Macaca mulatta: one gene and its partner. The protein of the gene in region 1 interacts with the protein of each later gene in a biochemical or structural test. Links are inferred from orthologs where the notes say so. Each region holds a gene or a part of one and is shown on either strand. Other genes may lie near its edges.

Region 1 (4,133 bases):
TGTTCAGAAGGAAACTAAGAAATGCATGCCCTAGTCCTAATGTTTCATTTACACTTCATCCCTCTCTCCATTGTTAGTGGACACGTTTACTCCTTTGCAGTGAAAGGCTGCTTTCTTGGGGTAAGGGTGTCAACCCTAGCAGAGGATTTCAGTGATCTTTCTGGCGGCGAAGCTTACGCCATGTGTTTAAACATCATTTTATGAAGAAGTACGCTGTGAGTGGACTCAGGGACATGCCCTGCACCTTTCTTCCCAGTCCCTGGGCCACCAGCTACCCAACCACCTCGGTTGTTCCAGAAGTGAAGGCTCACCATGGTGTGGCTTATATAATACACATAGTGCTATGATCCCTGTGGATAATTAAAGCTAGGTCCCTTTATATGCCTAGGACAAGTTAACAACCCTTTCACGGTTGTGTTTTCAAAAGGATGACAACTACTTTCCCATTGTACTTTTGTACATTTACATCAAACACTCCCAACTACAGTGTCTCCTAATACGGACCCCTGGGCTAATTAGCAGCTTAGTGTGATTGTTTCAATTTTTCAGCGACCAATTAAGTAGTTGCTCTAGACAGAACTGACAACACAATGTGAATTTTAAAAACCGCGATCTGCTGGTTGAGGGGAGAAAGCCAAACCCAGTAAAGAAAGTGGGGGCAGGGCGAGGCTGTGAGTGGCTCTGTTTCTGCTAGCAGAATACTGGGTCTTAAATTCAGATTAAATCACAGCTTACCTGACGAGTATCCCCCGCCCTTCCCACTAGTAAAATAATAACAATAATTTAAAAAGAGCAGAGCATCTGGGTTACTGCAACGGGAAGCGAGACCTTTAACCATAGCCACCCTACTCGCTCATTGCGAGGCACCTGTTAGATGCGCTCTTGTACCCTGATCCCCATACAGAGAGACAGCTCCACACCTGCATTTACCCTTCAGCCTAAATGGATTCCCATCAAGCCTTTCCCACTTCAGTGTCGGATCCACAGAGGCACCGAACCGCAGCCACTCTCCAGAAGCACTCTCAGCCCCTCCGTCCCCTAAGGGAGATTTAAAAGTGGTCGCCCCCACTCGCCCTCCCCTCAGCCAGCATCTCCATCTAGGGAAGGAATTTCAGTTGTCTCCCGAAGGCCAAAAGCGAAAAGGTGAGGGATGCACTGAGAGAAGAGAAGAGAAGATACCCAACTCACTCCCCTCCCCACTCACCCACGCGTCCGCTCCCGGCTCCCCCCTCCGCCTGCTTGGGTCTGGCGGTCAGGTGAGGTTACCTGGGCTCCCCGAGAAGCCCCGAGGGGCGCTGCAGTCCTTCTTTTTCGAAATCGCCCCGCTCCCCGCCGGGCCCCCAGGACTCTTGCCCCTCTCCCCCCCGCGCGCGTCCCCGGCCCCTCGGGCTCCGACGCGCAGCGACAGCCGCACAGCGCGCTCTGCTCCCCTCCGCCGACCTGGCGTGACGCAGGCGGAGACTACTTAAGGGCGGATTAGAGGCGGCGGCCGCGGATCCCCGAGCCCGGCATTCGGCTCCGCGCGCTCAGCCCCGGCCTCGCAGGCTGCCGCGCCGGAGCGCCAGGTGCCCGCCGAAGTAGCAGGAACAGAGCCGGTGCCCGGACCCTCCCCCGGCCCCCAACCTGCGGCAGAGAGCGGCGCCGAGACCCCTCCTGGGCGGGCGAGCGCTCAAAGACCTGCAGGCTGCCACCCCGCCCCTCGTCCAGGCGTCCGCGGGATCCAGACCCGAACCCCGGACGGCGCCCGAGGTTCGTGCTCTCTCTCTGGACCGCGCCAACTGCCCCATCGGTCCGGACGCGTTTGGATTTCTTTCCCCATTTCTTCTGTTTTAAGTACAATAATAGGAAAGGGGGATTCGAGGATTTTTTTTAAAAAATGCTTCTTTAATTGGGAGGCAATTCACTCCCATTCTGGAGGTGCGGCCCGGGGAGGGGCCAGGAGCAGGAACGTGCCCGGTGCTGCCCAGTCTTTGTCTGCTGCCTCCGGATGCACAGCGATGGGGGAATGGACCATCTTGGAGAGGCTGCTGGAAGCCGCGGTGCAGCAGCACTCCACTATGATCGGGAGGTAAGGGCGACAAGCCGGCAGTCAGCGGGCCCCGTCGGGCGGCCCCGGGAGTCCCTTCTCACACCCGGACTGAATCCCCCGCTCCAACCCCCAGCCCGTCCTCTGCCTCCTCCCCATCGTCCTAAGTCAAGGCTCCGGTGTTCCTGGCGATGAGGGATTACTCCTGACCAACTGCCCATCCCTTCCCCATCAAGCACCACTGGGGCTTCACTCTTCCCACATCAGAAAAGAAGCCGCTGGCTCAGTCTTGGTCCCTCCACTCTCCAGAGTCAGAGCCAATCTCCATCCGGTTCCCTAAATAGAATCTACAAAGAAGGCAGGATTGCATTTGGACAGAGAAAGGCAAATGGGGAGATGGATTTGCTCTTCAGAGCAGATGCCTCTTTTCTCAACAAATAATTACTAAACTAAACTTATTTGGCCGTGTAAACTTACCGAGCCTACACACCCAATTGCCATTTTTGTGTCTGTATATCTATGTCTCTAGAGTTCAATATATATAAATATATATTCATAGCCATCTGCTTATATAAAGCATTAAATTTAATATTCATGTTGAGAATAAACTAAATATACCCATGGAGTAGTTACATGTAACACACCCTGTGTGTAGACCTTGAAGCATGCACCGTCTGTAAAGGTATTCTGTGTGCATTTGCCATATCCAGAGTGAAGGTGTGTTTTGTGTTTCTATACATTCTATATAGAGAGATGAAATCTATCTGTTCCAAGTAGACTATGTCCAGTGTATGATGTTGTGTGTACCTGGGATCTCTATAATATGAAATGTTCCCAGCTTACCAGCACTCAGCAGAAAAGGAAGAGACAAAAAGCTTTCCCAGATTCCCAGTTCAGTACCAGCCGGGGATGGACAGCTCCCCAGTCAAACGACTGGAAAACATCAGCAAAGGGAAGGGAGGAGCAGGGGTTTCCTGTCAGTGACGCAGCCCGTGAGAACCTCTCTCCCTCCCTCTTCCTCTGCTCAGGATCCTGTTGACTGTGGTAGTGATCTTCCGGATCCTCATTGTGGCCATTGTGGGGGAGACGGTGTACGATGATGAGCAGACCATGTTTGTGTGCAACACCCTGCAACCCGGCTGTAACCAGGCCTGCTACGACCGCGCCTTCCCCATCTCCCACATACGTTACTGGGTCTTCCAGATCATAATGGTGTGTACCCCCAGTCTTTGCTTCATCACCTACTCTGTGCATCAGTCCGCCAAGCAGCGAGAACGCCGCTACTCTACTGTCTTCCTAGCCCTGGACAGAGACCCCCCCGAGTCCATAGGAGGTCCTGGAGGAACTGGGGGTGGGGGCAGTGGTGGGGGCAAACGAGAAGATAAGAAGTTGCAAAATGCTATTGTCAATGGGGTGCTGCAGAACACAGAGAACACCAGTAAGGAGACAGAGCCAGATTGTTTAGAGGTTAAGGAGCTGACTCCACACCCATCAGGGCTACGCACTGCATCAAAATCCAAGCTCAGAAGGCAGGAAGGCATCTCCCGCTTCTACATTATCCAAGTGGTGTTCCGAAATGCCCTGGAAATTGGGTTCCTGGTAGGCCAATATTTTCTCTATGGATTTAGTGTCCCAGGGCTGTATGAGTGTAACCGCTACCCCTGCATCAAGGAGGTGGAATGTTATGTGTCCCGGCCAACTGAGAAGACTGTCTTCCTAGTGTTCATGTTTGCTGTAAGTGGCATCTGTGTTGTGCTCAACCTGGCTGAACTCAACCACCTGGGATGGCGCAAGATCAAGCTGGCTGTGCGAGGGGCTCAGGCCAAGAGAAAGTCAATCTATGAGATTCGTAACAAGGACCTGCCCAGGGTCAGTGTTCCCAATTTTGGCAGGACTCAGTCCAGTGACTCTGCCTATGTGTGAGAGGGAAGGTTTCACAAAGGTCTTGGGGATGGCAAGAGCCCCAAGGCAGATGACTGCTCAGAGGTGGCTGTGTCCACCCTCATTTATGTGACTCTCACCATTAAGATGTAGGATAAGACTGGATAAAAGAAGATTTTGCATCAATGGGAGAAGAGGAAAAGTGGAACCATTTTCACATATCACC
Region 2 (3,648 bases), on another chromosome or scaffold:
AGGTCAACAACTACAATATCAGCAACGTGTCCCATAACTATGCCAGAGCTGTCCTTTCCCAGCCGTGCAACACACTGCATCTTACTGTGCTTCGAGAGAGGCGCTTTGGCAACCGAGCACACAACCATTCTGATAGTAACTCTCCGCGAGAAGAGATTTTCCAAGTGGTTCTTCACAAACGGGACTCTGGTGAACAGCTTGGCATTAAATTGGTGCGAAGGACAGATGAGCCAGGGGTTTTTATTCTTGACCTGCTGGAAGGGGGGTTGGCTGCGCAGGACGGCAGGCTCTGCAGCAATGACCGAGTGCTGGCCATCAATGGGCACGACCTGAAGCATGGAACTCCGGAGCTTGCTGCCCAGATTATTCAGGTAAACCCTCTGGGCCTTCATTCCAAAGGCTTGGCCGAAATGATCGTATAGCAGTATTTGTTTTCATTGGCCAATAACATCAGAATTCAGGGGACATTTTATATTTCGTTAGAAAATCAGGTATGGCTACCTGAATTCTTTAAAATCCACACTAGTATAGCTTCATTGGAGATAGTCTTTTCTAAAAACTGTATCCCTGTGAACTTTGGGGATGATTATTTACAGAGCGTAGGCTCTACTGTTTCATACTCATTTCTCATTTGGGTCCTGGGTTCTATTATTAAGCCAGATGTAGCAGATGGTAGTGTCCACCTTTTAGAAGTGAGGAAAGGGAGGCTTAAAAGAGCTGTGATTACCAAGGATCTGACTTACCTGGTCTCTTAACTCCCTGTCAGGATCTACATAAATAGGGGAAGAGTAACTCTTATCTCGGTAGTGCTTTGTTGTTGTTTTTAAGGAATTCACGGTGTTTAAAATACATGATAAAATTTGTCCTCATAGCATCTTTGGGACGTAAGTAAGGATAGTCATGATTAGAGGAGGAACATGTTTTTCACAAAAGCATGAAGACAGGTAAGTTGGAAAGTCCTCCAGGCAAGATCTACACGTTCTGCAACATGCCATAGCATTTAATGGTATGAGCAACTTCTCCAGTGATAAGGATGCAACAAAGAGAAGTTTTCCTTAAAGTCAGCAAAACAAAACACTGTAAAGGAAACCAGGAATTATGTCCTTGAGCATCAGGAAGTAGGCTAGGCCGATAGTCATTGAAAAATGTGTTTACAACACGGAAATAACAATGAAAATTTAAGACTATAAGAAAACCCTGGTCTCGGCCGGGCGCGGTGGCTCACGCCTGTAATCCCAGCACTTTGGGAGGCCGAGGCGGGCGGATCACAAGGTCAGGAGATCGAGACCACGGTGAAACCCCATCTCTACTAAAAATACAAAAAATTAGCCGGGCGCGGTGGCGGCGCCTGTAGTCCCAGCTACTCAGGAGGCTGAGGCAGGAGAATGGCGTAAACCCGGGAGGCGGAGCTTGCAGTGAGCCGAGATCGGGCCACTGCACTCCAGCCTGGGTGACAGAGCGAGACTCCGTCTCAAAAAAAAAAAAAAAAAAGAAAACCCTGGTCTCAACCCTCTTTATTGTATTGAGAGGAGATTCTGATATTGGTGTAATTTCATAGACTTGAGGCTTAAAGAAATTGGATGCCTTAAAATTTCCTCAGATTAAAGGCAACATTAGGACCTATGTCTGTGGATATCAGCCAGCAGCTGCACCACTAAAACCCAGCTCATCTTGAAAGAGCGGAGATTGGTGGGAGGGAGGGGAGAAAGGACGAGGAGGAAGAAGAAAGCTAATAGAGTTGTAGCATTTGTTTGAGTGAAAGAGTCAAGTGAGAGGCCGGATCAATAAGACAGAAAATAATAGATAGACTATATGTATTTCAGGCAACGTTTAAATTATCTCATCTAGTTCATTCATTTGGATGATTCTAACTAAATTTCTAACCAAAATGTGAAAAAAATACAGATACACAGGTAGAAAATATATTTTAAATTGTCTATGATCATATTTTATATTTGGATGTTATAGTTTCATCGTATTTTGTGCTATAATTTTCTCCAAATAATGGAAAACTGAAGTTGCTCAATTTGTTTCCTTTTGAAAATAAGTAAAAGCCTTATTGTTTTTGGATTTTAAAAAATAACATATACTCCATGTCTTAAAAGGAGACCAATAGTAAATGATTTTAGTAAGGCATTAAACTTGTTTCTCACTTATTTTCTAATGTAAGAATTGAAAATAAAGTGATTTTTTAACATTATTGACTAGAATCACGGGAGAGGTCTCCACTTTGTACCACAATTTCTTTAAAGCAGGCTATCATATTTTCCTGTAGGAATTACAGTAAAATGGCATTGTGGTCATGACGAAGAGTCAGCATCAAATAAATTAGACTTTTACTTTAAAAGGAAGCATTAAATAACTTGTAAAAATGTAACCAATGTAAACGTATGTTCAAAATATGATAGCTAACAAGCCTCTAAATTTAAAACGATAGTCATGAACCTCTAAAATAATTTAACACTTGAGATGTGTGTGTCACATTCACACACATATGCTATATATATACACACACATACATACAAAGTCTTGTTATGCAGGATTTCTGTAGTCATTCTTTTCAAGAATGTTGATGCTGATGTCCTATTTTTGACTCAGACCTATAGAGGCAGAAACAAAGCTGTGCAGAATTTCATTATTATTTCGGAAGTAGCCACCATGGAAATTTATTTCAGAAGTCACAATGGACTTTAATCAAGTTTCGAAGCAGTTCTTCCTTTTATTTTCTTTCCTTTGCTCTGTCTTGCAATATCAAGGCCAACCTTGAAGATGCAAAGAAGTATTACAAGAAAAGTTACCAGTCATGGGGAGATAAGAACCCAGGCAGTGTGACCACTTTGCCTTGGTCATTTTGGAGGTGGGGTTGCAGAGGGCATGCCCAAGAATTTTGTGTGTATGCGCTTCAACTGCAGCAGTTTTAAGATATTAGCTAATGAAACGAACTCATTCCTCTTGCCACCAGGTGCTTGCAGTCACTGCCCAGATGATCCCCTGGTACCGTGATTGAGAAGTGCATTGAAAGTTATACTGTGTGTAATCTTTAAAATTACAAACATCATTAGTCACTTGTGGTAATGTATTTGTGTTTTCTCCAGGCCAGTGGGGAGAGAGTGAATTTAACAATTGCTAGACCAGGGAAGCCCCAGGCTGGTAACACCATTAGAGAAGCAGGAAATCATAGCAGCAGCAGCCAGCACCACACACCACCACCGTATTACAGCAGACCAAGCTCACATAAGGTGAGGATTTTTTTTTTATGCCACCATCAAAGGATCATCGTTACAAGCTGGCAAGATTTCAATGAAGGTTTTTTGTGTGTCAGTCATACCTCAATAAAGTAGTTTTTTAAAAAAAGATTCAAATGAGGGTTGTTATTCTGTTGAAAAATATAGTTGTTTGGAATGTGAAATGTATATGTTTTGCTACCTTGGAGAGTGACTGCGTTGTTCCTTAGAACTAGAGATAGTTGCTTGGAGGGGAAGTTTCCTTTGCCAGGTGATAAACGAGAAGCATGAAATCTTCTACTTGTTTAATCCTACTTGAAAGTGGAATTTATCTTGGGTTGCTTATTTAAATGTAAGAGTTAGTTATTGAAAAAACATAATGAAGACAAGATTGATAAATGTATACTTGGTAATTGAGCCTGTT

Evidence for each region.
Region 2: the proteins of GJD2 (region 1) and LNX2 form a complex in vitro, tested with the Homo sapiens proteins (2 studies listed by BioGRID and IntAct, with this or other methods). The link is inferred for Macaca mulatta from reciprocal best matches to the Homo sapiens genes GJD2 and LNX2.

The regions. Positions count from the first base shown.
Region 1 is NC_133412.1:12,070,624-12,074,756, reverse strand, and holds the start of GJD2 (gap junction delta-2 protein), read left to right. Parts: upstream 1-1,279; 5' UTR 1,280-1,997; coding exon 1,998-2,068; intron 2,069-3,054; coding exon 3,055-3,949; 3' UTR 3,950-4,133. UniProt on the Homo sapiens protein: One gap junction consists of a cluster of closely packed pairs of transmembrane channels, the connexons, through which materials of low MW diffuse from one cell to a neighboring cell.
Region 2 is NC_133422.1:7,597,557-7,601,204, reverse strand, and holds part of LNX2 (ligand of Numb protein X 2), read left to right. Parts: intron 1-2; coding exon 3-371; intron 372-3,095; coding exon 3,096-3,239; intron 3,240-3,648.